Linked DNA regions of Oreochromis niloticus. The protein of the gene in region 2 interacts with the protein of the main gene of each other region in a pairwise test. Links are inferred from orthologs where the notes say so. Each region holds a gene or a part of one and is shown on either strand. Other genes may lie near its edges. The genes, in order: lin7a and mpp2b.

What was found.
Region 1: the proteins of mpp2b (region 2) and lin7a interact in binary tests that used the Homo sapiens proteins (3 or more experiments, as listed by UniProt). The two-hybrid records come from large-scale screens. The link is inferred for Oreochromis niloticus from reciprocal best matches to the Homo sapiens genes MPP2 and LIN7A.

What each region holds. Positions count from the first base shown.
Region 1 is NC_031981.2:15,755,738-15,772,829, forward strand, and holds the start of lin7a (protein lin-7 homolog A), read left to right. Parts: upstream 1-7,566; 5' UTR 7,567-7,667; coding exon 7,668-7,704; intron 7,705-17,092. UniProt on the Homo sapiens protein: Plays a role in establishing and maintaining the asymmetric distribution of channels and receptors at the plasma membrane of polarized cells.
Region 2 is NC_031973.2:19,985,817-20,002,524, reverse strand, and holds the start of mpp2b (MAGUK p55 subfamily member 2b), read right to left. Parts: upstream 6,379-16,708; 5' UTR 6,330-6,378; coding exon of another isoform or gene 6,299-6,329; intron 2,207-6,298; 5' UTR 2,191-2,206; coding exon 2,100-2,190; intron 1-2,099. UniProt on the Homo sapiens protein: Postsynaptic MAGUK scaffold protein that links CADM1 cell adhesion molecules to core components of the postsynaptic density. In CA1 pyramidal neurons, required for synaptic KCNN2-containing channel function and long-term potentiation expression.

The DNA.
Region 1 (17,092 bases), on a different chromosome or scaffold from region 2:
TATCAATACTCCTCCTTGAGTGGAAAAATGCAAATAGCCCCACATCTGCTAAAACTGATCATGGCGTGCATTCATTTGTTTGCTTGTGGGCATTTATGGGAATAATTACTCGTGTAGGGTCATTTAAAAACCTTAAAAATATTTGCATCTTAAATTAAGCCGATTTTCCAATACAATCACAGCACATGAGCAGCGGCAGCAGCTCTTTGTCCTCTCACATTGTGCCGCCTCATGCACTTCTTTCCCTATCACTGGTAAATACCCATAATACAGCTGACCCCTTGAAGAAGTTTGCCCCTCGTTAAGTACCTCATCCATCTGATATTTCAGATCACCTGTTTATGTTTATATGTGCTGAGCAGTGCTTGCGCTGTCCAGTACAGGTGTTGCAACGATAGTTTCGATATCGGCGCTGATATTGGTATCAGAACGATATCAGCATTATAGGATCGATACTTTCTTTAAATCCTATGTGTTTAGTGTGTAGTCCACTGATGTTTTACATTGATTATTTTTGGTAATGAAAAAAATATACCTCAAACGTGCGCTATGAAAAATATCTGGACCTTCTTGTGTTGACTGTGACTTCTGTTTTATTTATAGCCTCCTACAGCACATTTAAACACAGGGGGATCCTTTAGAGACAGGAACATTTACATTGCTGTTTACATCTCAAAAAAAAACCCATGGTATCAGATGGATACCAAAATTTGCACTGTGGCACAGCACTAGTTTCCAGCAGAGATGGCCAACTTGAGTTGGATTGCAGCTGCTGCCTCTATGACACTTGTTACCATTTGAGTAAAAGTGGGGGGAATAAAAAGTGAAATCTTTATCCCAGCTGACAAAAGATATCAGTAATCAGCAACTGATTGATGCCTTCTTACACCCATCACCCGCACGTCTTATCCTGCAGGTATTTCAGCGTAACAGAACTATAATTTTCTTTCTTTTTCAGTTTTAAATTAAGTATTGATTCAAATTTCATCATATTTCAACCATGCTTTCTCCTCTCATGCTATAATTTGTTTGGCCAAAAGGTCTCACTAAATCACAGTTCCCCCAAGGAACTGCCATACATATATATATATAAATATATATTAGAGTAGATGCTGTTGGCTGAATATGTATCATTCTCTCTGGCACCTTACGTGCATAGACCGCTATCTATTAACCGCTTTCACCGGCTAATCAGACCCTAAACTTTTCATGGCTTTTTATAAGCCCTCCGTCTTGATTTGATGTGATGAGTGTGAATGTTTCAAAGCAGAAATCAGCCGACTGCCCTTCAGAAACCGATGGAGAAATGATTCATCACTCTAGCCCGCAGTGTCTTAATGTAGTTTGAAAATCAAATTTGTTTGAAGATAATGATCGCTGTTTTACATTCTGAATGGGTTTTAGATGCAGTTGTCAGAAAGACTAACGAATGATTTCAGTCAATATCATTCATGGTTTTAAGTGAGTGATACTTCATAACGGTTTATTAGAGCTGAGTGAATTTACTTTCAGCGATTGCTTCATATACAAAATACTAGAGGCACCCAATCATTACAGGAAATAAATAAAGGTGAAAGCCATTTCCCCTTGTTAATTATGCTCTTAGTGCATTAATGTTAAAAGAGGAGATGAGATGAAGTTGGACTGAGGTATATTTAAAGGCTTTGACAAAGCTCAATATACATTGGGATGTATTCATGTTTTCAGTTTGCAGAAAGCATCAGGATGGAATTATGATGCCATCACTCAATCAGCCATTCCTGCTTGACAAAGTAAATGGGTGCTGTTTCCCTGAAGGGGGCGTCAGTAGTCTGTTAGAGCATGGGTGCCAAATTTGTTTCTGTCCATGGGCCACCTACAGTTCAGTTTGAACTCTCAAGTGCACAGAGCACTTTATTTTGAAAATAAAAAAAAGAGACAAAAAAAAATACAAAAACAAAACAATTCTGAAAACAGTTCTTTCCCCTTTAGTTTTAATGTAAAAATGTGCATTCTGGAAAAAAAAAAATCATTAAATGAACCGTCCAGAAAAACATCCTGAACATCCTCAGATGTCTTAAGAATAAATATATCTCAGTTTTCCCGCATCCATTCAGTCTGCTGTCAGCACAATGAAATGCTGCTGTCATAAATCAAATAACAGTGTCAGCACAGTTCCAGCTCTGTGACTTAACCACCTTACTTCAGTGTGATAAAGCAGGTCATGGCAAATGTCTTTGCCAGTAAGAAGACACTAACACTGCTGATCATTCAGACTTCTGGCTCGAATGAGTTAGTTTGCACAACCAATCGGATTGCATTGTCCATTCTAAACAACTCGCAGCACAGTGCTGACTGGTGCAAATTAAACTGAAATGTCCGTTCTTTCTCTTCTGTTTTCATCTTTCTGTCTCTGCAGAGCTGTCCACTGCAATGGCCTTTTTAATGTGCAGATTATAGCTGACACGCCATATGTTTCACACTCTGAATTAGAGGTTTAAATCCCATAGTGGTGATGCCGAAGTGGGTCACAATCAGTGTGACAGGCTTTGTTGAATATAGTATTTGAAGAAGGTAGGGTTCTCTGGCGTGCCTGCCTTCAGAAGGCCAATTACATTCACCAGCCACTTTATTGGTACACTTCGTGAGTATCTGGATTCTTTTTGCCTTCAGAACTGGCGTAATTCTCCATGGTATAGATTCAATATGAATAAACATTCATCAAAGATTTCGGTCCAGATAGCATGCCATCAGAAATTGTTTACACTATGATCATCAAGGGATGGAGATAGTCAGCAACAAAACTCAGGTAGGCTGTTATGTTAAAATGAAGCTCAGGTGGTACTAAGCAGCCCAAAGAGTGGCCAGAAAATATCCTCCACACCATCAGACACAACCAAGAGGCTGAGCTGTTGGAGGATGGATCCATGCTTTCTTGTTGCTTGCACCAAATTCTGATCCTACCATCTGAATGATGCAGCAGAAATCAAGGAAGGGGATCTAGGGGGAGAATCCCAGTAGATCAGCAGTTTCTGAAATACTCGGACCAACCAGTCTGGCACCAACAAGCGCGCCACATTTAAAGTAACTTTAAATCACCTTTCTTTCACCTTTCTTTCATGCTTAGTTTTAACTTTGTCTTAACCTTGTCTGCATGCCTAAATGCAATAAGTTGCTGCCATATGATTGGCTTATTAGATATTTGTGTTAATGAGCAGTTGAATAGATGTACCTAATAAAGTGGCCATTGAGTGTAAATGTCTCATAATTTGGGTCTTTTTTCTTAGCAGATATTAACAATAAAGAAGAAAGCTGAGGTTCCGTCATATGAACAACAGAACAGTAGATTAACAAACTCATGGTTATTTCCAAACAAGGGTGAGTTTTTGTACTCTACTCTTTTTCCCCCCCTGGTTATCCACACATCCAAAGTTTGGAACGCCCAAACTTTGAGACCCACTCACAAAAGTGCATCCTGACTTGCCTTAAAACAAAACTTTAAATGTGAGATTCATAGTTTACACAACAGCCTGGAGAAGCGGATGCACATCACCATCCTTCACTTGGTTGTTCATACACAGGAAATTAGTTGCATCAACTTGTCTCGTTAAAATATAAATACAATTTTAAAGAATTATCTGTCACATGTTTTTCAAGATGATGTTTTTTTCATTATCTGTCTGGCACCGCCTGATGGAGCAATATAAGCAACCGAGCTGCTGTGGAAAAGCAGCCTGTCATCTTAACACAAAATATCCAATAAATACTTTATTTTCGAGACGTTATCGCTCAACAGGAAATTTTCATCTTTTTTTTTCCCACTGTGGCATGCCGGATGGATCACAGTCAGTGCGGCACAAGGATTGGAATCGATGGTTGACAAATTTAATAATGGCCTGTTTTAATAAGCAGTTGTTACCTGGAAATGAAACCCATGTTATCATTTAGTGAAATACTTTACTTATTTCCCTACTGTTTTAGAAAAGCTTTTCTTCCTGTGTCAACATAACAAAATCTAACCTTTATGGATTTTATTAGCCTTTTATCAAAGCCATGTGAGTGATATTGATCTTTTTTATGAATGTGTTGCAGGAAAAGGAATAAGGTTCCAATTTTTCCCCAAATGTCCATATGACCTTACCTGTTGAATTCAATTTGAATGGGTACTGATGGGAATTGAAGATACAAATAGAACTTGCACACTGGCTAATGCTCTGAGCTTTGATCTGCTAGGCAAACAGTCCAGCCGTCTGTATTTGCCCTGTCCACATGGCCTCTTGCATCTCCTTCCGTGGAAGTGGAGGCATTTCAGAAATCAATTCACTTGCAGCTTTGTGGCTTAAAGACCAGTGCGGCATAATCCCAACCTCTTAAAAAAAGCAGACCTGTATTCCAGCCCATATAGATGGAAGCCTGTAATCTCGCTGTGCCCTCTTTCTGTGTGCTCTCTAAGCCCTCGCCCTCTCTATCCGTCCATGCAGCCTACCACTCACCACTATTTTGCATCTGCACACAGCTGGGTGGGACTGTTGGTGGACTGAATTCGCTTTTACTTATGGACTATGTATTTGAAGAAGCATGCAAGTTTAGAAACTGTTTAAATCAAATGCAGAGGAAGCGGTTAAACATTTAAAACATTAAACATTTTAAACATTTTATTACAATTTTTAGATATAGCAGCCAATTTGAAGTGAAGTGAGGTAAAGAGGTGTAGTATTTGCCTCCCAGCTGGGTGTAGACTAAAACATTTAGTGCAATGCATGACAAGATAAATAGGATTTAAGTAAAATGTCTGTGTTTATGAGCCTGGGTTTTGCTCTGAACAGCTGTGCACATGTTAGTATAAGTGCTAGTCCTTGCCTCAGGTGTGTATTGATGTTTACAACTTGCATTTGTCATGGCGAAGTCACGGTTCGTGAGCCATGTGACACGTCATGCTGCCTTAGCATCCCTCCAACCTGGGAATCTCTTCTTATTTCTGTTGAGCATGGCTTCTGTCAGCTGTAATGACTGCCCATGTATGAGACACGCCAAAGCAGCAGGCGCCATTAGGCAACAGATCTACAGTAAATGAAGAGAGCCAGCGGTTTGGCACCATTCTGTGGTAGCACATAAACATGAGGATTAATTCTTAAGCCCTTCAACGTAGGTTCACTACCGTCATTCGGTCCTTATCTGGCTGTATGCAGTGCATGTAGCCAGGAGAGAAGATAACAGGCAGTATAGCTCAGTGGTTCACAATGAGCCTTCATGGCAAGCTTGGTTGCAATCACCTGATCTCTGAAGTGCAAGGATTATAGCTGTGTAAGTGTTCATGTGTGCACAAAACACACATGTGTGCATCATTGTGAGATTCAGCATGCAATCCAGGTCCAGCTGGTTGACTGCAATATGGTGAAACTTTTCAAATACATTACTGTGACAGATGGAATACCAATTTTGACTGTTTTTCAACATATTATTAGCTTAATGACTAAGGTCCGCCATCCCTCTTCTTTTAAAAGGTATCTTATGTGTCCCATGAGAGCACTAGTCAGGCTACCTCTTGTTTTTATGAGCCTAAACTGAGTAACACTCCTGATGTCAGCATGCAGAGCTCTCTCGATATTCAGGAGTTTAAAGATCTATCTTTTTAATTTGGCTTTCAACTTGAAGTACTGAAGTGCTATATCTTTATGCTTAGTTGTTAAGGTTGTAATGTATGTTTTTAATGTCAGTTTTGCGTATAATTTCATTTATGGGCTTGCCATCAAAAGCACTTTGAGATGCCTGCTTTTATCAAAGACACTTAAGTTGAGTCGAGTCAAGTAGACGGCAGTGAATAGAAAATCATCTTGTAGTAACGGTGACTAGGTGTTACTTCAGATTCTAGTGTTGAATCATGGCAAAGGTAATGCCCTTCTATGTGGTGTTTGGTTATTCTCCTCACACCTCCGTGGCCTCCAACTGCTCCAGTTTGTCCAACAATCAAAACATGCTGGGTTAATTTTCTTGTAATTGTGCCCTTGACCAAGGCACAGGCTTGAAGCGTGGAGTTGATCCCATGAGCCCACTGCCTCAAATACTTAGGATGGGATAAATGCAAAGAATTGCTTTTCCTACAGGGAAATAAAGGGTCTCTCACTCTGTGAAGGCCATGAGAGGCTCCAGCCTCCCTGCAACCCTGAATAGGATAAGTGGAAGAAGATGGCTATGATAAACTGTAAAAAATAAACATGTTCAGTAATATGTGGACTTAAATCAATTCAAAGACGAGGTGTGCTCTGGCAATTTTACATTGTCAGTATTCACAAAGGCAGGTTCTTTAAGAAATGGCTCACCCTATTTGGTATGCAAGAAGACAGAGTCGTGCACAGAGTCCTGACTGTAACTCTGTCCAACACTTTTGTGGTGAACTGGACTGCCTGGAAGCAGGACCAGTGCTTTTCACAAAACCTTTTGTGATTACGTAAGAGTAGAACATTGCAGTTAAGTTCCCAAACGCTGCTGAAAACCCATCAAGAAAAGGGAACTCTGTTATCACAGCTGCGGCCTATATCCTGTTTTTTAAACAATACGTTCAACATTAAAACTTAGAATACAACATGACCCCATTCTCTGTTAAACTTACCACATTACTCTTTCTCCTGAAAAGCTGGACGTCTTTTATTTATTGATTTCATTCATTGAGATAAGCTTACATTAACTCAATTTTTCAAATTAAATGTAGCTTGCAAAACGAAACGAATCATATGATTGTCAGACTGCAGTGCTATATGATCAGACGTTTTGTCCCCCTGTTGGCCATTAGAAAAAGTGCAGAGTATGGCAAAGTTTTCACAAGTCCATATTTTATATACAGCACATGATTAATCCAAAGATTGTGTATTAAAGATAAATCTAGCCACTGTGACCTCTCAGAGCCCTGTTGTAAAGCACGAAGGTGCTTTGAAACCAGATGTGAGGAATCCCAAAAGGATGATTCTGTTCATCTGGACGTAGCGTTTTCATCCAGATGAACAGAATCAACCTTTTGGGATTTACTTACCTGGATGATTGAGCATGCATCAAGACAGATGTGAGAAATATGTGACACTAAGATACACTGCATCCTCATAGGCAAGTGATTTGTAAATCATTGTAAAACATACCCTGCTTTAGTCTACCTTTTTAATCTAAAGAAGTCCATAGTTATTCAATCGAACATTATGGTGTATTCAGTGAGGCCCCAAACTAGCATTTGCGACCATAAACTCATCGGGAAACAGTTTCCTGAGATCACAAGTTAAAGCCAAGGTACTGGTGCAACCATAAGAGTCTCCCCCTGCTGGCCATTAGAAAGAGTGCAGTTTTAAAGAGCTTCCAACACTTTTTTTGTAGACAATATATTTTTGATCTAATGTAAAGAATTTTAAAAAATTAGTGTATTTTTTGGTTTTTATATGTTATCAAATTAATTTTATCCAAATGATTTTTTAATTTTTTTTTAAAAAGCCAAAAAAAACCCCGTGAATACTATTTTTCATTAAGAGCGTAAAACAGCAGCGCATAAAGCGCAAAACAGCTGATAACAGCACCGGGTGACGGAGATGGATGGAGATAGTCTAATCCTCTCCCAGCCACTCCCAACCTCTCTCTCTCTCTCTCTCTCTCTCTCCCTGTGATGCTGCAGCTCCTGTAGGCTCTTCAGTCTCCAGTAAACAGCAGTCATGGCGACAGTGGTCCAACCGCTCACACTGGATCGAGGTAAGGCGATCGGAGCTTTGCATTCTGTGCATGTCACCGGAGAGATTATTTTCAGCCTTTTTTTCCCCCAAAAACTTGAGCGAGGATTTGGTTAGATTCTGATGTTTTCTGTTTTTTGGTGAGTGTTTGTCCAGCTCGGATTTCCTACACATCGTCTGCGCGAGTCGCTATTTCAAGGCAATATGAGCTCTGGCTTTTCTAAATAAAAGCCCGTCGGTTCCGTCCGTGTATTTTTCCAGACCGGAGCGCTCAGTTCTTTCGTCAAACTACCGAGGGGGTTTCTGCGAGCACGAACATCTGGAAATTAATACCCTTAAACCACTTACAAGGGGTCTCGTTTAATTTCATCTGTATTATGTAACCCCTTTGGCAACATTGTCCCGTTAAAGCTCGCTTTTTGATCTTCATCTGGCGGAGACAATAACGCTCAAATCCTAAAGCGCCTTGACACGAAAAATCTACTTTGTTAGACGGGAGATAACTTCTCAGGCTATCTGAACTGGACAGGTGCAAGACTGGCTGATTGGTTCCCTCATCAGGGTGTAGATGTTGTGTTTTGTACTTGTTGGAAGCGGTGTGCAAACAAACCGCAGTTGAGGGTTAATGTTGTCCTGTGATGATGTTGCCTAGCCTGTTTTGTTAAGAGCTGTTAGTAATTACAGACTTTGTAACTTAGACACACATTAGTCCCCTGATCTCATTCATAAGATACAATAATAATGCATGTAGGCTGATAAAATGTTCATTTTCCCACCTAAAGATGCTGTACAGATATTTAAAATACACTAAGGTCTCTCGTAATATAGTAATTCCTCTGGGAGATTTGAGGAAGTACAGAATGTCCTGTACACTTGAGAAGATGCCCTTTACATCTCAACACTTTTATGTTAAAGGAGTCGCATATTCAGACCAAATGCAGATCCGCTGGTGAAATGTAATATTGCACAAGCCTTGCATAGGGAATGGATACTGTCAAATATAGAGAAAGGAGAGAAAGGAGACACCTTAACGCTTTACTCTGTGCCAAGTAAAGCCAGCGTCAGCTCTCCTTCCAAGCCACACGAGGGACTTATATAAATACTCTTATTAATTATTCTGTAGGGATTAATCTGACTGATGTCACTCGTTATTGGTGATTTAAGTAATTAACCACATTAACATCTACTGCTAAAGAACACAATTTTTTTCCCTTCCATATGTTCAATTTGTTCTTCAATGAAATTTAATGTCTGAGGGCAGTGAAGCTTTACAGGTGCACAATCTGCTGGGAAGCTGCAGAAGTGCTGTACATGCAGAGTTAATGAAATGAGCCACAGATTGAATCCGGCAATGAGATAAACAATGCAACCTAAGCTTTTCCCACCCATGTCTCATAGTAGACTATAGATTTATTTTTTAAAAAAGAGGCTCTGCTAAGCTGATAAATAGATTTTTAAACAGCAAGGCAAGGAGCGATGTCCTGCAACTTGATAAATTGTCAACATTCAGCCATGTCTGATCTTAGTCATTTGCTTGGGCAGTGACTCAGCTGTGACCTTCGTGTGTACACACGGGGCCTGATCCATACCCACAAGCTGGAAAATGCAGCTGTAATGGCACAAACAGTAGTAATGATAGTTTCACGCAGGAGCTGTCAGAGGCAGGCAACATTATAGGCTTCCTGTCCTCGGATCCTGCCACTTTGGTGAAAACACTATAATTGCTAATGAAAAGGTGCACTCCTCTCGTTTCTGGGTGGAGGCTTTTGCTGCCGAGTTGCTGAGTTTGTCAAATGCACGCAGGGAGAAAAGGAACAGAGATGTTCATTTCCAGAGCTCCCACTTGGCTTGCGGGGTCACAGCAGGATGAAAAGATATTACATCATTGGCCTTCCTGTTATTGTCAAAGGAAATGACTGTGATAAGCAAGCACCGTCGAGAACAATGGATTTGAACCTCGCTGTATAATAAAAAAAGAAGCCTTTTATTCTCAGTAGATCTGGCATTTATGTAAGTGCAAACTGACACACCCCGGAGATGAAAACCTTTCTGTATGAAACAGTGAGAGCAGAGGGCACTGTGACTGAAACTTCCACAGATAAATTTAAACATCTATCAGGTACGGCTAGGTGGCAGGACCCAAATGCAGGACTCAGAGACAATGCTGTAGCTTGAATGCTTGAAGAAAAAACAAGGATACAAAAAACCAGAAACTCCCAGAAGCAGGAGAACAGGAAACAAGGACGTCAAAGATAGCATGAGTGGACGATGCGACAACGAGCAGAGGAAGACTGAGGACTAAAATGCACACAGGATAACGAGAGGATGGGCAACAGGTGGCAACACAGCTGGAACTAATGCAGACTAACAGGACAGGGGAAGCAAAACTGAACGCGCTGTACACTAGACACGAGACTGTCAAAATAAAACAGGAAGTATGATAAACACGGAGATGAAGACTAATCCACAGAGGCTTGACTCGGGGACCGGGGAGAAACAGACATGGGGAGATGACTGACTGAGGAGACAGAGAGGGAACATCAGACACAGAGACAAGAGAAAAACAAACATGAAGACGAGACTGACTAAACACATGAGAAGACTAGACACTGCGAAAAAAACTCAAACACCACACAGAACTAAAGGCTAACCGAAGCATACTTAAAACATGACGTAAATATAACTATGAACCTAAGAATCACATAGAATATTCAAAAAATAAACTGCATATTGTTCAGAAACTTAGTACCAGTACCATGACAACGCCGGCAACCTGCATGTTTCCAGTGAAATGCTTACTCGCTGATGGCAGGATAATGCTGGCCACGTTGTCCATTTCAGTTTGGTGTGTTACTTTGTGTTACTTGTTAACTGATTGTTTTTTTGTGAGTCATATTCATTATTTTATAATGGTCTGCCTGGTCCAGAATTCAGCTCAGAAAACATTGAACTAATAAAGCTCATTTGCTGAATTGTAGTCCTTCCATTTAATTGCATTAAAGTCCTTCACTTTATAAAAAATGTCTGGAATGTCCAGCCAGCAGGGGTGACCACGCTGTGTCTAAAACACTGCTTTTGTAGACATCTGTGAGAATACAGCCTCAGTAAACACTTTCCTGATGAATTTCTGGACTAAATTACTAATTTCAGGATGTATTGATTAAAACATGAAGTCAGTTTTGTACGATATTGTCGTTATTGAAGTCAGAGAGGAGGATTGTCCATACTCATCAGCAAATGACTTGTAATTTTAAGTTGCTAGCCAGTGAGTATAAAGTATTCTTAGTTTCACAGTCAGATCCTCTAATCACTCTTTACCTGTTGATTTGAAACACAAAGATGGTGACAGTGACAAAGGATCCATCATCAATCCATGATGTAATGGCAGCTACCGCTATCTTTCATTTACAGTCTTTAATTGAGCAAAAAGTTGATGGAGATTTTCATCAGTTTAACCAGTGAATGATGTGCAGTAGACACTTGGCATTATGTAGTTGGTGTTAACAATAGTGTGGAAGTCTCCCCTCAAAAGTCTCCACTGTTTGCAGTTTTCCGAGCTAACAAGTTAACCCTGAGCCTGTGGTAGGAAGATTAGATGTTTGTTCCTAGCTCTTCTGCACCACATGTTATGGGATGAAGACACTGATCAGTTCTTTATCCCCACCAGTCTGTTCATTTAGAAGCTGCAAAGCAATCTTTATTCGTCCCTCACTTTGCTGCCATTGTTCATTTTAACCCCAAACGAGTTGGTGATTACGCCTGGGCTTCACGCGCATTTCCACAAACCCAATTGTTGGATATTGCACTGACCATAGCTAGAAGGAAGATTTTAACTCTTTCCACTCACCTTAATACCCATGCTGTATCTGTTTTAGTTAGTACAATTTCTCCATTCAGCCAAATACAAAAACATAGATGCAAAGTTGTTGAATTTAGCTGCTTGTTACATAGGTTTACGGTGGCCATGGATTAGAAGGTAGAGTTAGAGAAGGTCATCATCAGAAGGTTAGTGGTTCATTCCATGGGTGCTCCTGCCAAAGTATCCTTGGGCAACAATCTGAATTCTGAGTCACTCCCAGTGTGAAAGTTAGATAAGACTAGATAGACTAGATTACAAAAGTTGGATAAGATAAGTTAGATAAAAAGTGCTTAGACAGAGAAAAAAGTGTTTGTGTGAATGGGCAAATGACACATGTTACACAAAGCGTTCTGATTGGTCAAGCAGAGTAGAAAAAGCACTATATAGGAACTAGTCCATTTGCCATTTACAGGTTGAAACTGTGTTAGGGGCGAAAGCATTGGTTTATCATTGTTAGAAGATTGCAGTTATGTTCCTTGTACCTACAGCTGTACAGCATGTACAAGAAAGTAGTTTCTCAGCAGTGCATTTCTTCCTGTGAGGTCGTGATCAGTTCAAATGTCAACAGTAGAAAGAACCCGTTCCTTCCCAAAGTATGAATCATTTTGTTTTTCTTCACTGTGTTGCAGGGACCTTTGGAATAGAACAATTTTTATACAGTTTATGTCTTCTTGTCTTAGCACAGTGAAATGAATAACTGCGAGATCTGAGGGACCGTGGTGAGTTCATCCATTTGAGGCTAGAACATATTTCCATCACATCCACTCAGTCACACCGCTGTTTTTAAGGGATTAAGGAGGTGCTGACAAGCTGACGTCACTTGTAGCTGTCTATATTTTAAATGGCCTCCTGTTAATGCAGAAATAAAGGTTCTCTCAGTAATTGTCTTGGAGGGACATTGCCCAGTAATTACCCAGGATGAAGACGACAATAAGACTGTGATGTTTTCTGGCTCTGTTTTCGCCACAGGCTCCTGCAGGAGCCATTACCCTTCTAGGAGTGATTTATTTCTTGTGCTATAAGGGAATCGCTGCAGTTGGACAAATTAAAGCTTATTCTCTTGGCATGGGGAAAGAACTTGGTTGTCCCATTTTTCTGTATTCAGACTGTGATTTCTTTTGTTTTTATCACTGCCTTTAGCAGCAGAGTTGCCAAGGGCACCCAGGTCAAAGTGGCAGCGGCAGATGGCAAGGACTTTTCAGGACAACTTACTCCCAGATGCATGACATCTGGATAGCATTTCTCAGGGTACAAAGGTGGGATTCCCGTCAGAGAAAGGTCATTAGAGACTTTTTCTGCCTGTCACCCTCTGAGATGGAAAGCAGCATTTCATTTAGAGTTAGTATTTGAAAAGAGGATCTCAGGTTTAAATCTCAACGTTGCGGTTTAATAAGCGCAGACAGACGCGGACGTGTTTATTTACATTGTTGCAGTTTTGTCAAACTGACACTTCTAAGTACTAAAAATGGATTAGGTTAAGTTTTGTACACTGCTATAAATGACTAATTATGTCAGGAAATGGGAACGGAGCCCAGTGCAAAACATCCCCTCAACAGTGTTGTGGAGCTTTGTGGAGCATTGAAGCCTTTATTACGTGTTACTGTGGCTTTGTTCAGCTCTGTGCCTTTTCTCTAATCAACAAATGATGAGGATGACCTTTTTTAGTCACAGCCTGATGTTTTCAGGGTATAATGCCACACAGACAGTGGCAGCTATAATCATTTTATACCGCAATATTTGTTTTAGATATTTTTTCACATTGTAAAATTTAAAATGAGAAATATTAAACTATTGTTCTAGGTATGAAAAGTTTATTGGACCAAAAGTGATTACATCATGTGTTCTGTTCAATATATAAGTTGTTGGTTTGTCTACAAGCTGCATTCATCTCCAATTAATACTCCAGATACTTGCTGATTGGTGACAGCATATTGATAAAATATTTCAAGAACTTCAGTCATCCAAAATAACTAGAGCTAGCAGAATTTACCACAAAGTAAGACACAGTATTTGTCAGAGAATTAAATCATTCAAATGCTCCAAAAGATGCTAACAACACAGACATGGTTAAGAGGTCCAATGTACACCTCTAGAAATAGCAATGTAAACAAGCAAGCTAGTAGTTAGCTTGCTAACTATTAGCTAATTGCTAGCAAGCTAATAGTTCGCTCTAGTTGTTTTCTAATATTAGGCTGTTAGCTTATATAACCTCAATTCTCAAAAGTTAGGGCTTTATGGAATATAAATAAAGACAGAATGTCATAGAGGGAAAGATTAGCGATAGAAACCAAAACTGTTCTTTGTACCAGGCGCCTCTAAATGTGTTTATTTCTGTTTAAAGTTGGGCATTGTAACAGGGAGTCTGTGGAGATTGACTCACTTATAGAGTTAGCCTAAAGTGGAAGTTAGAGGAACTGCAGTTTTGGTACTTAGAATTTTTTTTCTTGTTTTCATCTTTGTAGTTTGGCACTTATATCACAATCTATCAACAAATCCTCAGCTGGGATCTCTTATAATGCTGTAGTCAGTTTCTTCCACTGATTATGTCCCTATTCAGCAGTTTTCCTTATTCTCCTTGTCTATTTAATTTTAATTAGTTAGAAAGTCAAGAAAGATGAAGCTGAAAGAAAGAGTAATAGTTAAAGTTGGTGAGTTTACATGCCTAGGGTTAAATTCTCAAAGCAATGCATGGTTCACAAGAGCGGTGAAGAAGAGAGTGGAGGCAGGGTGGAGTGGGTGGGGACGAGTGTCAGGGGTAATTTGTGATAGAAGGATAGCACAAAGATTGAAAGGGAAGGTTTACAAGATGGTAGTGAGACCTGCTATGATGTGTGGTTTAAAGATGGTGGCACTATCATAAAGACAGGAGGCGGAGCTGGAGGTGGCAGAGTCAAAGACGTTAAGATTATTATTGGGGTTGGTGGGACGGGCAGGATTAAAAATGCATCAGAGGGACAGCTCAGGTTGAGCAGATTGGAGGGAAAGTAAGAGAGGCAATGCTAAGATAGTGTGGACATGTAAAGAGGAGGGATAGTGGATATACTGGATGTTGAAGATGGAGCTGCCGGGCAGGAGGAAAAGAGAAAGACCACAGAGGAGAAGAAGATGCTCAGGTGGAGGTAGATCATCTGCTGTGGTGACCCCTAAAGGGAGCAGCCTGAATAAGAAGAAAGAAAATCAAGAAAGAACAGCTAGATATGGCCAAGACTTTGTATTTGACCCTGTGCAGTAAAAAATTAGTCATTTTCAGGTAGAACTGTTTGGCCAGGCTCACAATTATATTCAACTTGGTGTAACTCGGTCATATTTCCGAAAATCAAGTTCAGCTACAATCAAGTTATCCAGTTATTTAACAAATAAATGTTTCCTTGGTTCTTTTATATTATTAAAAATGTTTTTCTTTCAAATATGATTAAAAGCAGACCAAAACTGAACATCATCACCAGTGACCCAGAGCCGATAGGAAATTTCAATGTAAAGTTCAGATTTCAATTATCTCCCAGTCTCTTTGTGAATGCAGCCGGCACACTTTGCTCAAAGTTTTCTGGTCACATTCATGTAGGATCTCGCAGTGAGATGTGAAAAGGAATACTACGTGAATCTCTCTGGATAGTGAAAAAGCCTTTGCCTGGGTATTTTAAGTCTGTTTGAAGCGCTAGACTCCCTTGAACTGATGATATCAGAGCATAAAAGCACAGGAAAGACTCGGTAATAAAATCTGTCTTGTGCAGATGAAAATAATCCACATTTTAGTGGCTTTAATGCTGCAATTAATGTTGTTTTGGGGGTTTTTTTAGAGGGGGAAGAACAAACCTTCATAAATGTCACCGCACAGAGTGAAAAAATTAGTTCTGAGAAAATTTAGTATACTAAAGTCCTGACAGCTACGTAGCTAAAGAAAACTTGTGCTGGATGATTTTGGAGCCTTTGTTCAGTCAGTGGGAGTGGTTGTAAAAAAGACAGGAATCACGGTGGGGGCAAAAGTGTAAGAGAACAAATAATCCTGCCAGCCAGGAATCAAACTTGGGACTCGCTGCTCGGGGCATTTGAGGCCTACCCACTCAGCTATCAGGTCACCCAGAACTCAGCTCGTTTAATTAGTAAGTATCACTAATGAGAATGCCCTCATCCTTCGTATAGCAGAGGGAAATTAACTGCTGACAGGATCTCTCCTGGTGTCATCACTCTTTATAATATGGCAGCAGTACATTATACTGTAACTGCATCTTGATGCTCATTTACTCTGACCAATGTCACTACTCCTCATAGAGATGCTCTGTAATTACAACCTATGGTTTTCCTTTGCACTTCGGGATACCTTCTTATTTTATTTTATTTTTTTCTGGCAGATAATTAGAGAGAAAGATACTTTTTCTTGTGTCATTATTCATAAGAAAAAATATCCTCATTTAGATACAGCAACATCAACACCCTTTCTTCTTTCTTTGGAGAAGAATCTGTCAGAGTACGCAGTGAGAATGACTTAATTGCATACCGTCTGTTTGCCTCAGAGATATGCTAAATTTGACAGTCTTGCATGTCTCAACGAAGCTGAATTTTTATTGAAATGAGTGTAAAAAAAAAAAAGTATAGATGTTGAACACATCTGGGCACATTGACCCCCCCCCCAGCATAAATTTGCGGGGTTTTTTGGTTTGTTTCTTTTTTTAACTTTGGAGTAAAAGTCAGTAAAATGCACAGTTGAATGGTGGTGAATCGCCTCTGTTGCATTTTTAGGGAAAAACACTCATTTGGGCCACGATCCTCGTGAAGTGTAGCGTTAGCAGATGTCTTTAAATGAACGAGAAGGAATGCAGAAATCAGAGGCAAGGGCTCATTGTGCTGATTTATAAAAGCAGGTTTAATGTGCAGGTCGAAAAAGGCAAAGCATGTGGACAGAAAGGCGAGAAAAGAGGCATAACGAGGCTGACAGGCAGAAACAAGAAGGCTGAGAGTTGTTGAGCGTGAAGGAAAGGGTTGGTTGTCTCTACCAAATGGTTTAGAAGAGGATTAGGAACATGTATGTGCATGTGGGGGGTCAGGCTGATGATGAGAGATGAGGATGTTATGTTTTTAATCTCATGCAATGGTGAGACATCCTTTGGTCCCCTATGAACCCCAATTCTTCCCCTTAGTCCAAAGACACTCATGTTAGGTTAACTGGTGTCTTTAAAATGGCTATAGGTATGAATGGTTGTCTGTCTCTCTGTTAGTCCTACAACAGACTGATAACCTGCCAGCGTGTATCTCTCACCCTATGACAGCCGGGATAGGCTCCAGCCTCAGCGCAACCCTGAATTAGATAAACAGAAGAAATGAACCAGATGCTAAAGTGGTAAGTTTCTAGTCATTGTTTATTTTTATTTTTCTGCTATGACTTTTAGTTATTAGACAAAATACAATTCACAAAGTTCCCACATAAAAAGTCATCGACTCACAGTTTCTATAACCATGTGTGCCAGTGTGTTTTGACTGACAAAGACTAAAGCTTAAGACATTTCATGTACTTTATTCAACCTTCTAAGCATAACAGATTGTTTTTTCTTAAGCT
Region 2 (16,708 bases):
CCTTGCTTGACTTTAAAAAATTCTAAGTGGTCTAACAGCTATAACAGTGTAGGTGAATGTCCTATAAAAGGCAACACTTCAAGTGGAAGTAATCATGACCTTCTCTCTCCAGGTCCCAGATAGCCAATCAGCAGGACGAGGGACTTTTAAGCAGCCTCCCTATCACCATGGTGATGCTTGCTACAAGCTGGCATGCTATGGATGCAGGTCAGATCGCCTTATTAGCTGTATGAAGGTCACCAGTGGAGACAACACTTGTGATATTTGTTGACATTTTGCAATTGGACAGCAGCCCCTCCCCCTCACCCCCCACAGAAAGTGTCAACGAAAAGATGATTTTGTGTTACGTTCTCACTGTAACTAACGCTAATAACTTTATCAATGTAGCTCGCTGTACGCAGGCAAGCAGTTTGAGTCAAACCGTACATCTGTTTTCTTTGGCAACAGTTAATGAAAGAGCAAACCGAGATCATCTGAGTGTGATACGGATGAAATAATTGCCAGTGTCACCACATTATCGAATACTCTCCGCCAGAACCGTATTAAATTGTCCCTTTCTGTTGAAACCCGGCGATTATCTTTGACAGTGTAATCCTACCAACACACTGTACTCAATGATCCATCATCTGTGTTTGAACACTGCTTCATTAGTCCGGTAGGCACACAGAATATTCCTCCGATAGCGTGAGAGTTTGTGTACTGTCCCGCAGATGTGTGGAGTGTGTGTGTGTGTGTGTAGAAAGGGTGGAAGTGAAAGAGCTGGAGAGTTATCTGAAGGTTGTGAGTGTGACACTTCCAAGCGTGCTGTCTCTGATCAGAACACCGCTGCATATGAATGACCCCCCCCCACCCACTTACTCACCATGAATGTACAATGCACTGGAGGTCTCTCTCTTTATCCTCCTTTTCTGTGTCTCATTCACTGTGCACTGATAGACAGGATGCAAATGCATTGACTGAAAATATGATTCATTACGGCTGTCACCGCTGTCGTGTCAAGATACACACTGAAAAGCGGAGGATATCTTGCAAGACAGTATACTGTGTGACACAAATTAGACTTGGCAATGATGTAATGATGCTGCTAATTTAACATGACAGCATCAAATACTTGTTTCAGTTCTTATCCCCCTCACCTGATATCCACTGTTTAGCCAAGACAGGCAGCCCATGCATGGACCACAGGGACCCACGTGAATAGATACCACATTACTATGTGGTATACAACTTTATCCAGTATTAATGAATTCCATGTATTATAAATGGGTTGTGTGGTACTTGTCACTCAGTGCTATGCTAACAAACATTGTCTGGCCACTATCATCCAGTACAACAAATTAGCTTTTACACTGAGTTTTTTTCTTTTTCTTTTTTTTTTATTGTGGCTTATCTAAATTGGTCTCTCTCAGTTTAATGCTCCTCCTTTCACAATCTCTGTAAATTAAATTAAAAGAAAAAAACGGACTCTGTGTTGAAATGATGTATTCTAGTGCAGCTGGTACCGGGCCTCGGACCGGTACCAGTCCGTGAGTCGTTTGGTACCGGGCCGCGAGAGTTGAGGCTCAGGTGTGAAATGTATGGTTTTCAGGGTTTTTATCGGTTTTCAGCGTTATTTTGTTAGCGTTTTTATCGTTAACTCGGTTTTCCTGGGTCTTTTCACGTGTGTTATGAATAAATCTTCTTTTTTTCGGTACCGGCACTAGTTTTATTTTGTTGTATTTATCCGCGACACCTTATTGCCGGTCCGTGAAAATATTGTCGGGCATAAACCGGTCCGTGGCGCAAAAAAGGTTCTAGTGAATACATGTCTTTGCATTCTGCTGCCTGGGATTCGTCTACATCGCATGCTGCCCTGGGTCCCATTCTGTCTCTGCTCATCGTCATCACAATCTGGAGACATGAAGCAGCACATCAGGAGCAGGTGCAGTATGAATTCAAACACCAACTGGTCCTCAACCACCAACATTATAACACTGAATTGGTTGCTGATTACAGCTTGCGTCTAGCAGGTCTTGCCTAACTAGTAACAGCACACACACCTGAACTGCTATAAACAATCCCTATATTGCTTCGCAGCAGGCAAGTTCCTGTGTTCTTACCTTCTCCCTCCAGCTTGATATCCAGGCCCTCTAGGGAGTTGGCTGAGTCCCCCTCCTCCAGGGAGAGCCTTCCAAACAGGCTGCCAGCCATGGTGAACAACACCTCACTACAGGACACACACACACTCTCAGTAACACACCCAATACTGTATCAGAGGCAGTCTGAGAGATCTTCCTCTCCCTCTCTCTCCTTATCGCTCCCTGATTCCCTCCTCTTTCCGCCAAAATGACTCCTCGCTAAAGGCACCTCGCCACTCTTCCCCTCCCTCCCTCTCCACCTGCTCTTGACGTGAATGTGTATAAGCTATGCCTGGCCGAGCGTCTTCTCCTCAGCATGAATGAACGGAGACGAGGGAGGGCTGGGTGCATGTGGAAAGAAAGAAGGTGGGGGGACGTGAGAGGAGAAAGAGAGGAGCGAAGTGTGATGCTTTCCTTAAGAGGAGGGTAAAGAGGAGCCAGGAAAATTGCCTGTCTAGGTTTCCCCATGGGGGTCAAGTGGGGGGAGAGAGTAGCAGAGGGTTGGCTTTAAGAAGGAGGTGTGGTCAAAGAAGTGGCGCTTGGGGAGCGCACTTGTGTATTTTGTTACAGCTTGCCATTACTATTATCAGAGGAACAATCACAGACTTGACTTTTTTAAATATAATACAAGTGAAATGATCTATTTGGGAAATTTATATCTGAGCTACTTCACTGACATAAATGTAAAAATAGCAAAGTTTCAAATAATAACTGACCCTTCTTTAACCCTTCTCCAAGTCTGAACAAAATATATCCCTGCTGGAAATGCTGCTTTTTAAATGTAAAAAAAGACATGAATTGGTTTAGAGAAACAATCGACTGCGTGTTACTAAAAATGCCACTCATCCGAGTCTCGGCCCTCGGCTAGTGCACAAATCAAGACTGACTGACAGCCTATTACACAAAAGACTCAACGCACATTCTTGGTATAAAATGCTTCTCTCTCTTTCTCTCTCCCTCTCCTTTTCTGGCAGCTGACTGCTGGAATTTACTATCATATATAACAAAATACTTTGAGGCTGCGGATTTGAGATTTGGCCCCGTGTTAAAAAACACACTGGAGTGACTTTCCCAGACATGCGGGCCGGATGTAAAAATTATGTGTACGCACAAAAAAACACTTTTTCCCAAACATATATCAGTATTTATAAAGGAAGATGTGCATGTGTAAATGTGCAGGCATACCCACATTACTCCAAACAACACAATGAAGCCTTTTATTAGTTTTTTTTAAATTTACAAATAAAATTAAAAACCTCACCACAACTAATTTTGAGTACTAACTTTATTCTTAACATTTTTTTAAATTATTGATCATTTCTAATGAGCAGTGGTTGTGTATAATGGTCTGCTTCCCTTGTGTGAACTCCTATCACTTTATATATATATATAAAACGATAACGATATGTATTGCGAAATAACTTTTTCTCGATAGAAAAATTAAACTATTGCGATAGACCTCATCTCTCTTGTCCTCTTAAAAAAAAAAAAAAAGAACAGCCAATCCAAATTAAGTAGCGCAGAGCCGAACCAATCACAGCCGCAGCGTCACGTCACGTGACTTGTTACGTACAGCACAAGCGCCAAGGCGCACATGTGTATTTGTTTTTGCAGCCGTGCAGCCCGGGTAATGAAGGAAATGAGTTTGCCGACTAGACAAAAATCAACCGAGAGCGTGAGCGAAGGTTACCGAAGAAAAAACGATGATGGTTCCAATGCCGGAGAGCTTGTCGAACCGAAGGGCCACAGAAGTTCCGTAGTGTGAAGGTATTTCGGCTATTTCACGTCTGACAAAAAACAGAGTAGCGCGCACTGTAAATTGTGCCGAAAGCAAGTCTGGAAATACAATAAAGCGGTGCATGCTCAATCTCTGACTGAAAGCGCTAATTCGTCATTCGGCTTTTGTCAGACTAAAGTCACTGTTAAAACTGTTTGAAAAGCTAAGCTATACAACAAGGAGAGATTAAGAATTAACTTTTAGTTCTCAGTTTATTTGATATTGACAAAAGTTAGTCAATTTTGTCTGTTCTTCTGTAAAACGACCTAAGATTTATTTTTAGAATTAATATTTTGTTTCTAAGTGGAATTGACAATTTAGTCTGTTTTGTTTGTTCTATTTTGAAACTTAAACGCTTTAGCGGCTGCCTTTTGTGTAGTTTGCAATATTTGCCTTTATCTGAAACTGAAGTCTCATGTTCCTTAAGTACATCTACCCTGTTGAACTTATTATGGGAAATAAATATTTTAATTAAAACAAGCTGCTGATTATTTCACATTTTACTTGTGAGCAATGGCACATTTAAATCTTACAAATATAGTTATTTGGCTTATATCGTGATATATATCGTTATCGCCTGAAATGAAAAAAACATATCGTGATATGAAAAAATCTTATATCGCCCAGCTCTAGACAAAAGGAAGCTACAATTCACAAGGGCAACATTTGGATGGTAGGGTTCAAATTTGATGTAAACAACATAAAAGCATGAATCCATCCTACTTTGTATCAATGATTCCGGCTGGTCCAGCTGGTGTAATAGTGTGGAGGACATTTTTGCAGCACATTCTGAGCCACTTAGTACCAGTTGAGCATTGGTTTTAGGCCACACCCTACCTGACTATTGTTGCTGACCATGTCCATCCCTTTATGACAACATTGTACCCATCTTCTGATGGCCACTTCCAGAAGGATCATGCACTACTTTACTATGCTCAAATCAAACACTTTTGGGATGTGGTTTGATGGTAGCTGACAAATCGTATAAGCCAAAGTCTCTGAGAACTGTGTCCAACACCGTGTTGACTCTATGCCATGAAGAATTAAGGCAGTTCTGAAGGCAAAAGGGGGTCTAACCCAGTACAAGAAAGGTGTATCTGATGGATAATGTCACCACAATCCATAATTATGGTAAAATTCAATCTCAAAATTCTGAAAACGCCATGATATTTCCTTGTCCATGGTAACATAGGTACCATAGTCAGTGTGTGTGTCAAGGTGGCAATTCTTCCAGAGCTGAAGAGGGCAACATATGGCTTAAAGTGTTCTAGTCTAAGCCTACAATCTGAACACGAGGAAGGAAGCCCACAAGCACAGGAAAAACCACATGTTGAAAATGGCAACTAGTGCAGCTGCGGTAGCTCTGCTTTGACAAGCCACGATGATTGCTGCGCAAAAGACAATACGAAAATCATGCTGTGGTCTTTCTCCTATCAAAGGAGGAAATATTCTTAATTTAGCAAAGCAAGCATCCAGATCTGTTCACAAAACTCAAGCTCAGCAACTTTCACAGTAACAATAGCTAAAGTGTTATCCTTGAGTTCTACTGAAATATGCATTTCATTTCCTGCAGCTGGCACTCCTATTGTGAGTCAACTTTTCTTCAGGCAAAAATGTTAGCAATGGCTAACATTGTGTACTAATACTAACATAATGTAACTGTAACACTAGTAGCTTAGTCTGCAACCATCCTCAGATTTCATCTGTCAGCCAAGTATAATGTTAACATTTTAAATAAATGATCTGCCACCCTGTCATGTTTTAAAACAACCTTTTAATAAAAGATTTTAAAATGGTCAACCCATGTACTTAAACATTATGTGTTATCAAATTGGATAGTGAGAATCATGTGGTTATACGGGTATTGGTTCCAACTAATAAATTTCTGATATCGTGACATTCCTAGTAACTAATGAAGTGTCCAATGAATGTACACTTTATTGCATTGTAGCAGGCACTGACTGACTACAGATCTACAGAGTTCAAAAAAGCTGAACAGAAAAAAGCTAACTGCCAAAGTAAGCAAGACCCTTACACGACACTTGGAGGTTAATCTCTTCCACGTCCTGCTATTTCAGTGACAATCTTTAATAAAAGAGTCACTTTATGTTTCAAATGTGTGTTCATCTGAAAACTTGCAGTTATGTATACACCGATGTATACTATTCAGCTATCAGGCATTTGGCAAATCCTTTAAAGCATGACTGATCTAGGACCGGCGTTTTACCGCTCGGTTAGCCAGCTCATTAAGTCACATTACCACTCTGGAGATGAGATACAAGTACTGACTGAAAGAATAACCACTAACCACTGTCTCCCTCTCAATATCTCACTCACTCACTCACTCACACGCACGCACGCACACACACTCGTGCAATCATCACAGCGAGACCGAGACACTTACCCGAGTCAGAGCTGGATGTGGCCACGGGCATTTTAGAAATTGGTTCTTCTGAGTATCCTCCACAAGACTTGTTAGGTCAACTGCAATAAAAAAGAGAGTGCAAAACGAGAAGGTAGATGCATTAAAAAACTAAAACCTTTATCTATCCCACTGCTGGGTTAGAATTAGGAATGAAATAAGCGACGGAGGGTAAAGTTGTGTTGTTAGGTTGAAGCTCAACACTGAGTGATCAGGAGAAGACTTAGTGTACAAATCCCTTTCTGGCACAAGCGCAGTCAATGGACTAAACATTCACACTAACAAGCTCCCACACAGGGTAATTGGTATTTAACTTTATTAAGATCTAAAAACAGAACAGCTAGTTGCCCTGGTAACATCTAAACAATTTTAGCCATTGTATCCGTTGGGAATACCATTAGCAACAGTTGGAAAGACTTTGTGAGTGGGTTCAGCAAGGCCAGTTATCACTAGCTTAGTGAGGATCTCTGCTGACTCTAATTGATCCATTTATCGTCATGAAAACGTAACAAGCGTCGCAGGCAGAAGACTGCAGGATTAACGATCTATTGTTCTGGGATCTAAAATTGGTTCCTCAAGTCATGGAGAATTTATGAGAATGCAAACAGTGAAAAGTAAATAAACGACATGGCGAATGAGGGGGAACATAAACTGAGCAGAACAATGAAGGGGAATCATGTCTGTAGAGAAACTGAAAATATAAGAGGAGGAGAAAAAGCAGGAAGTAACTGAAACGTATGCAAGGGAGTTAAAGAGAGAGGGAACAATGGTGAGGAAGAAGAGAGCGTTGCTGATAGGAGACAGGCAGCACTATCCAAGGATGCTAATTCCTGGTTGTCATGACAATAGCTATCCTTAGTGGAATAAATGCTGTAGTGGTCAAAAGTGAGCAATGTCACCACAGGGTCACCGTGTGTAAATGTCTGTGTCTGGCAACATAAAAATCCCACGTTAGCCTTATTGTCACATGGCTGATTTGGAGGGATGACGCTTCTTATCAATCCAGCACTTGAAGAGCTATACACCAAAGGGGAGAAATGGCACAAAAAATGCTACATTATGAATGTTTTCTGTCAGGGTTACAAAAAAATAAAAATAAATCCAAGCAGCAGCTTCCAGGAAGTGGAAAAAAAATCCAGTTCCTCAACTGGCCAATGAAGGCTGGTTTTACAAGTCAGTCTTCCCCCCACAGACTCCCATATATGTTATACATAACGGACAAAAAAAAACTATTTCTGTCTCTGTAACTACTTTACACTTCATCACAACTGTACTTCAATGGGGGTTTATGATAGGCTTCACCCAAACTAACTCAAATGACCAAACTGGACCTCTCAACTGTGTTTGGGGTTTGGAGCCTTTTGGATCTCTGCACTAACAGTCAGTCTGAGAAGTCTGCAGTCTCTATTTTATTGTAATCAGTATCTGAATCTTTGAGATGTATCCATAAGGTCAATGGAGCACTCCAATATGCCATCTAAATCTAATCAGTTCTGGTACCAAAGACCCAAGACAGTGTGGCCATAATGCTGATGCTGAGGTAGTAATGTCACAGTGGCTACGTCTACCTTTTTGTGTGTGTGCATAAATAAATACCAGAATAATACCAGATCAGTCTACTAAAATCAGACCCATACTCTAAGAGAAGTTGCGATTCCTGTCAACTATGGATGGACGAACAGACGGATGTTGGATGCCTCACTCATTTGTCCTTCAGCTGGATGAGCTAAAAACTTCTGTCTTTCTATCTTTTACCACTACTGAGCAAACGATATTTTTTAACTCCCCTTTAGGTTGAAATTTCCAATAACAAAGCTACTCAGAGCAGTTTTTTGTAGCCTATCAGTTGTCAGTGAACACAAACATAAAGATGTCTTTAAGCCCAGCGGTATCTAATCTTACTCATTTCATTCTCTGCACTGAGATCAAAATATTCCCAAATCATATTTGCTCAGATATAGTCTGCAGTTTTGTGCCTCAGCATTTTATCAACATATCCCAGGGCACCGATTGAAGATTCAGCTTATTAACTATTAATGTGACCCCACTGTGCTTTTTGGCCTACTTCGATGGCATACGCTGTAATAAAAACTATGATCTACCAAAATAAAGGGATCTTGGGATTACTGTGTTACCATCACACCTACCTCTTCCATCTGAATAAGTGTCAGAGTGATTTGTTTGGATATACTAATGATACCAAAGTGCTGTATATCATTATGCTTTTATTAGTTCGACTGGTTCCACTGGGCCGCGTGTTTTGATTCTGTCTGTGGTCTTTGGCCATTTATGCTTGCCTTATGTAACGAATCTACTTCTCTTTGCCCCCAGACATGCCATATCATATCACATCTGGAATAATAAAACCCAACTGAATGTAACTGGCCTTTAGAGAAAGGCTTTTGCATTTTTGATTTGCATTTCTGTGCGTGTTAATTTCAAGTGTATGCAACTTTATTATTTTTTTGCAGTTAGTAATTGTTCCTGGGTGCATTTTAACTTAATTCTAACATGCAATGATACCGGAAGTGTCCAAAACTGTATATTTGAAAGTAATTTACATAATAATGAAGCACAGATGGAAAATATTCTCATTAGATTGCTTGATTGCACGGGCAAAGGCCTCGTCTCATTCCTCTTTGTGGATTGATTATAACTGGAGGGCAGTATTTGATCTGAGGAGCAGTACACAAGGGCTGGATGTAAAAGAGATGGGCCATTGAAAAAAAGGATCTTCAATAATCGTCATAGAGTACAAAAAATAATTTTTTGGTATGACATGAGTTTTATCTGAATATACCAATTTGTTTAATAGTCTGCTCAATTACTTAGCAAGGACAATTTTGTGGTTTAATATGAAAAGAAGACAAAAAAGCTGCCTTATTCTGAAACACTCAGCCTTTTGTAATATTAATAGGGTAAATTTATTGAGAGTGAATGATGGTGTGGTCATAATTAAGTTTCAAATATTTTCAAATTAACCACTGAAAGACGTAGCTTGACAGTCTATTTCAAATCTGGCATTATTCCTCCCTTTTATAGTTTTTAGATCGCTTAATAACCCTTCTTCAAGTAGTATCACAAGTTTAAACCTACAAATCAATCTCATCACAAAGTTATTATATTTTGTATTTATAGGATTAAGCTATTTTTATTGCATCAGTGAGAAACAAATCTATTCTTTTGCTCACTAAAAGGACTGTTCTCTGGATTTGTGATTCATATGAATATTGTTGATGACAGTATTAAGGAAGAAGCTCCAATGTATCATTACTATTCTGTGATTGGATGATTTCCTAGCTGCAGATTTAGCACACAGCTGAAACTCCATCTAATAACAAGAGTTGATTGAGAGATATCTTGTACAGAGCCTTCATGAGTGACGTCACAAATAAATTGTTCAAGAGTTCTCCGCCATATTAGATACCATCAACGATTGCTGCACTGATGTGTATTTCCTGACTGGTTACCGAGTGATCCTGGTTTAAAGGTCCTCAAACTGTTCCTGAAACATTTTTGCTTTGTGGCAGATTGCATTATCTTGCTGAAAGAGGCCACAGCCATCAGGGAATGCCATTTCTATCAAAGGGCGTACATGGTCTACAACAACGCTTCGGCAGATGGTACGTGTCAACGTAACATCCACATGGACCCAAGCTTTCCATTGACCAAAACATCAGACTTCCTCCACCAGCTTGCCTTATTCCCATAGTGCATCTTGGTGTCAGGTGTTTCCTACGTGAGTCACACACACACACACACACACACACACAACTGGCCATCCCCAAGTGATGCTCACGTGCCAATTGTTTGTGCTTTCAGTGGTGGGCAGGGGTCAGCATGGGCACCCTGACTGGTCTGTAACTATGTAGCCTCAAACTACTGCAGACCAGAAACACCCCACAAGAGCTGCAGTTTTGCAGCTGTTTTGGAGATGGTCTGACCCAGTCGCCTAGCCATCACAATATGGCCCTTTTCAAACTTGTTAAATTCGTTACAGTTTTCCTGTTTCTAACACATCAACTTTGAGGACAAAATGTTCACTTCCTAACATGCCCACCTGCTAAAAGTTTCCATGATAAAGAGATAATCAGTGTCATTAACTTCACTTGTCTGTGGTCAGAATGTTATGCTTAATCTGTGTTACCTCTTTATCAGACTGTTCAGACCATATACATTCCAACCAGCTCTGGTTAGACTTCTCCTCCTTCCCTCTTTTGTCTTGCCATCACAAAAAAATAATAACTTTAAGATCTGCCCTACTTAGACCTGCAAGTAGTGATGCTAAAGAAGCAAGAGGAAGGTGGATCCCCTCACACATCATACCGCTTAAACCCCGAGGAACACAATTGAAAAGAATCATTTTGAAAAGTGAAAAAATATTAAAAATATATTAATTCAGTACTAAACAAGTATAATGCCTGATAATTGTCCAAATAATAACTGATATAACTCAAATCCACAAATTCCCTTCACTATAACTGTTAACATTGTTTAACCTTAAATTAAATACTAGCTTATTTCTTCTCTGGATAATTCATTCATTTCCACCTCTTTAGAAGTTTTGAATTTTTTATTTTTACTTAGTTTTCTGCTGAGTTCTGCTGTCAATTAGGTTTAAATACACCCCCTTTACAATGTCAAACACATGTTAGAAATCTCAATATTTTCAGCTACTGGGGCGCCAATATTCACACAACCGAAAGTTAACATCACTACCAGACGTTTTACACTCCATTTGTTCAGACGGCTGCTAGAGACAGCAAAATTAGAAATCTTTGGTGGTGGACTGTCCTTTCTAATAGCATTTGACTAAAAAGCCTGTGTCCACTAATTCATTTTTAAATTGAAATATGGTTGAGAGTCCCTCTCTGTTATCCACTAAAATGTGACATTTGGGTCTGAGATATTAATTATCCAGCCTGTGTATCCTGTTTCATTTACTGGGATTTGTAATTGTTCATTTTTTTCCCCTGAATCTTTTATTTAGATGGTTAAATTTCACTTTTTTTTCACATTTATTTTTAAATTTTTGTGATTTTTTTAAACTTTGCACTTCTGATGGGAACACCTACAGGCCGTGTTTCTAAAAGTGTAACAGTAAAACACATTCTTAGATGCTAAAGAACTCGTGGCTTTTGCAAAACTCTGATCCGAGTGGATCAGGTCCTTAATACCACATACCAGCCCCCCAAGCTTATCCGAGGCATCCCATGTTGCACTGAGAAATGACGGCGCTTGTTAAAAGTATGCAAAGACCACACAGCAGCTAAGAAGTCAAAGCCGACTGCAGCAGAGCTTGGCCGTGCAAGATACCGACACACCAGGAGGGTTGGAAGGACAGGGTGCCGAGAAGAGAGTCGAATCTTTTGAGCTTTTTACTCCGCTACTCTGCCTTTTGTAATATTAATACGGTAAATTAGTTGAGAGTCAATGATGGTGCGGTCATAACCAGCCGAGGCATTTTCTTGGTAATTGGTGCCATTTTCAGAGGGAATAGCCTGTTACATGTAACCAGTAATCAAGCTCTACAATCAAGGATAAAATAGGTATTTCTCAAAAATAACATTAAGGGTGAAGTTGTTCAAAATTACCATTTTTCACTAACTGCCTTTCTACTACAGACTACAAGAGACCCTGCATGCAGCTTGTGGGTCAGTGTGTCTCCACTGTATCGCAGCATCTAAACTATCTCTGCTCTCTGAGTGGTTTTTCCTTCTGGGTCCACATTAGTCAGCTCACACACACACACACACACGCTCATGCAGATCTCCATCTTGCTCACTGTATTGCAGGAAGAGAGCAGCTGTCATGACATCACATTTGCCGGCCTGCTATCATCTCTACATCAACTGTCAGTTCACCAAAACAAGAAGCAGGTTTGGTTCTTGTGGTCGACGTAGATAGAAAATTATATTTGTTTTAATATAGCTTACTCAACATTTCCAGTGGAACAACATTATTCTGGAGATTGCTGCAACACAGAATAAAGAGGGCAAAGGTCAGTTAAAAATATCCCTAAAGTTGAAGGGAATTCTTAATTCTGCATTCAGGGAATTCTTTGTTGCACAGACTGTAAGCCTACACTTGTGTGAACCCCATGCACTGTGATAAATTTATTATTAACTCCATTTCCTTTAAGGTAGTGCTTGCAGATATATGGCATACAACTGCAAAGAAAGCCTGTGTCCAATTTTTCTGAAATTGCACGCTCCAGGACACTTTGGCCTGGAGCAATGACACAAGCAGCGGCTCAGGTGTTTGTACGCCAAGTGTAAAACGCCTTGAGGTGTTCTCACAGTGAGGCTGCATTAAAGCCTGCACACATGCTCGCACATACAGATACACATGCGAGCACACAAGCACCAGCAACCAAACAAGTCTTAATCCACACATGCAGGCTGGCGTCACGCCTAAAAATAACCCTGTGCTCCCACAGGTTCAGCTCCTCTCATTACTTTACAAGGGAAAACTGTCGTATCCAAGACAACCGTGAGCAGCTCTTTTTCTGTTCCCCGGCGCTTTGCCATGGCAACAAGGGAAAATGCGTAAAATAATAATAAGTTGGAGCTAAAATTGGGTCTATTACAGTGTTTGAGCTACACTTCAACTCAGCTTTGCTCTTTGTCTGTGGAAAGGATTTCAGATTAGCTTTATATTTCAAAAGCATTCACACAACAGCCTGGAAATACATTTTGACAGATCTCACCAGCCAAAATTAAGCTTGTAAAAGACACATGACACCAAAACAAACCACAAATAAATCTATGGGAGAATTACATAAAACCCATTACTACAAAGAGCCAGCCAAACAAAGAAACCTACTGTTTGAGACAATCATGTTGTTGCACTCACACATGCATGCAGCTGGGCTTCACAACAGTCAGTTGTTTGGTGACAGAGATATCTATGTTTCTTGTTCCTGTTGTAAAGATGCAGGTTAGTGGATTCGAATGAGAAATGCACCGATCAACTGGACAGGGACTGGATTGGTCAGTTTTCCTAGACAGGCGGGCAGCCAGTCGGCCTCCTATAATTACAATTAAAAGTCTATTTCGTGTCTATACAACACGCCCGCATGCAGCACACGGAAATCACTGCATGCATACTCACACCCACACGCTAAAATGTCACTAGCATGATAGAGCCTCACCGTGACACAAACTTGACCAAAGTAAACTGTGGGGGGGACCTGAAATACACAAACCTAATGAGACGAGCCTTTGCCCAACTGAACATGGTCATTTTAAAGACACGAACAAAGAAGTGGCTAAAGCTAGCCAAGAGCCTCGGTATGAGCAAAGGATCAAAACATTTATGAGTGAAAAAGAGAAAAGTATTGGTGACATGTTATGTAATTAAGTTATAAGCATACTGAAAAATAATGTATGTACCCGACAACTGTTTTGTTATATAAATCAGTTGGACCTGTTTTTGTTTGATAGGGTAAAATATGTCAGGTAAAGGTGGGCGTACAGCAGCTAATATTCATTTAGCTATTGGTATCTTTTTTCATTAGCAGAGCGCTTTTTTCCAGTTGTTTAAGCAAGAGAAGATCCTGTAACCTACAGCAGTTTAAGAAAATTTGTTAAGTTTAATCATTTCTTTAATTATTATCATTATTATTATTATTATTATTATTATATCAGTTATAGCTCTTACAAAGAAAAATGAAATTGGCAGAAATTGGTATTGGCAGGTCATGTGTAAAAAAACCCATCAGAAGCTGGAATCAGCCAAGAAAACGACAGTTGTTGCATCTCTAATTGAAACATTGTAGGAAGGGAGCAATGTAAAAAAATGTGTTTAATTAGACCCAGTGCTTGCTTTGTATACAGAAAGACAATGGTAATTAAAAACTGGACATCATTGAAAATTGTCTTTTAAATGCAAAAAGCTAATAACATTGTGCTGGGGATAAAATATTATCAGCCATGTTTCACAAAACACAAATTATACTTGACCTTCTAATAGGAAGAATGACATTTATACTGAAAGAAAAAACAAATACATTTGTAAAAGTCTGGAGATATTTTTTAAACTTTGTAAAAAATAAAATCAATCGGGACAATTGAATGTCATGACTTAGCAGCATTATATATTTCAAATTGACAGCTCAATTCAAGGATATGTAGTACCATGTGTCATAAAAGAGGAGGAGCTTTTGGTTATCTTTGGGGCTTTCTTTTTTGTTTAAATTTTACTATTGATCTGTTCAAAAACAGCTAAAAAGTAGACTGTAAAAAACTTTAGGTGGCTGTACTGTTATTTTTTATTGTATGTCTAATGTGAATTAGCATGGGATTAGTTAAGGAAACTGTGTGGATGAACCAGATGAGGAAAAAATAGGATATTTAAGCCTCCCTTTTGGACAAAGTCACCACACAACTTAAATATATTTAGCTGGATTTCACTGGACAAAACAAAAGTTATGGGTCTTTTCTCATTTATTTATATAGAGGCACAGTTAAAATAACTCTCCAGAGGAATATTAAACTCATGCTTATCGCCTCATATGAAGTCAAACTTGATTTAAAGTGGGCTAATAATAGTAACAGTAATAATAAACTCCAAAAATGTTCCCTTTCTTTTAGTGTAAATAAAGACAAGCACATTCCCGGAACATTCATGTTAATGGGCCATTCATCTACAAAACAGACAATGAAAAGCCCTGTTTGTCTTAAAATAAGTGCAATTTCACTAATATGTGTATGTTTGTGTGTTTTCCCCATACAGTCAGTGTATTACATGTGCATTATAATGTACAAATCACACTTTAAAGGCACAATGACATTTTGGAGCTAATAAAAATATCTGATATTTTGCCATCTTGAAAAAACTTTAGGCTTCCATACATTTCCACTACTGTGTAATAGTACTGGAATACCAGGAGCAGCAGTCTGTTTAATAAAAACCAAAATGTCAGTGACGTAGTAGCTCTTCTGACTCATGATCCATCAAAACTCACACATTATTTTAATGTTTGATGTACTGAAGAAAGTGGTTTTGTTATCATTGTTTGACTATACTTCACAATAATGAGTTTCAATCCCATCCAGAACAAATTAATCGCATTACCAACCAAATGCGAGTGTTCGAGCTGAGGAATCACTGTGTCACAGCACTGACCATATTATTGATGTTAGCATAATGGTAACAGGAATGCCCCACCCACACCTTCCTAATGTGGGAGTCTAATGACTAATAAGATCATGATCAGCACCTTTTAACAGGATTCAAGTGTTACAAGTGTGTAGCAAAGTGACATTTCAAGCTTTCCCATCATTTTGCATTTCATGTTCTTTCTTTATCAGTATGTACATGCAAAAATAATCAATATAAAAAAATCTTACGTTAATGACACAACCACCCATGACCCTAGCTTATGACATTATTATGCTATAAATAAACCTAATGATGAGCACACGCCAACGCTCATTTTGTGATCATTACAAACCAGAGCAATAAGTACGCAAAGAAAAATTGAAAACTCAAAGTCAACTTTATTGTCAATTCTGCACAGAACATACACAGGATCAAAATTTTGCTTCCTCCGGCCTACGACATGCAGCTAAGATAAAAAAATTAAATAAAGTAAACTAAAACAGGGCGCTGTAAGAAAACGAGATATAGGTATGAAAATAATTATTTGTATGTAATCTGATTTCAACAAGATACATTCAAGCTTATAAACAACGATTAGGCTATATGCATTATTTAAATTATTTGTATAAAATATCAAGTATAAATGAATTACTTGTAAAGCAACAAATATGACCTGATGTGTGTTTAATTAAATTCTGCCCAGCGCTCTAAGAGAAGCAATTCTTTTCCATTGTAAATGGATTAGAAATTTGTTTCTTTGCTTTGTTAAAAACTAAAATAATTTAATTTAAATAGTCAGTTAAGCCAAAACCACAAGCCAACAGCGTTTCTTCACTTTCCACTACTGATATGCTATCACACAGTAGTGGCTTTATGTGCCAACTCCTTAAGATGTGATGAAGTTGTAACATCTGCTGCTAAAAGTGCTGCAATATAACTTCGAACAAGCATACTTTAAAACATATTAAGTTCTCTCACCTACATGGATTCATTTTTATTATTCTTACAGAAAAAACATATTACAGCTTAGCAGGTCTCATGAAATCTTCTAGGAGAACATTGGTATGTTCATTCTTTCCTTAAAAAAATGGAAGAAGTGCCCTTAATATCACCTTCTGATGATCATATTAACTTTCAACTCACTACAAATACTGACACATATCATGATAGTGTGTGGAGGTCTTTTGAGGGAAACGTTCAACTGAAAACCAGTTTAAATCAGTGTTGAGTGATTCAAAATAAAAGTGTGCTCTGCTCCCCACATGCATATTAATACACCCAGTGTAC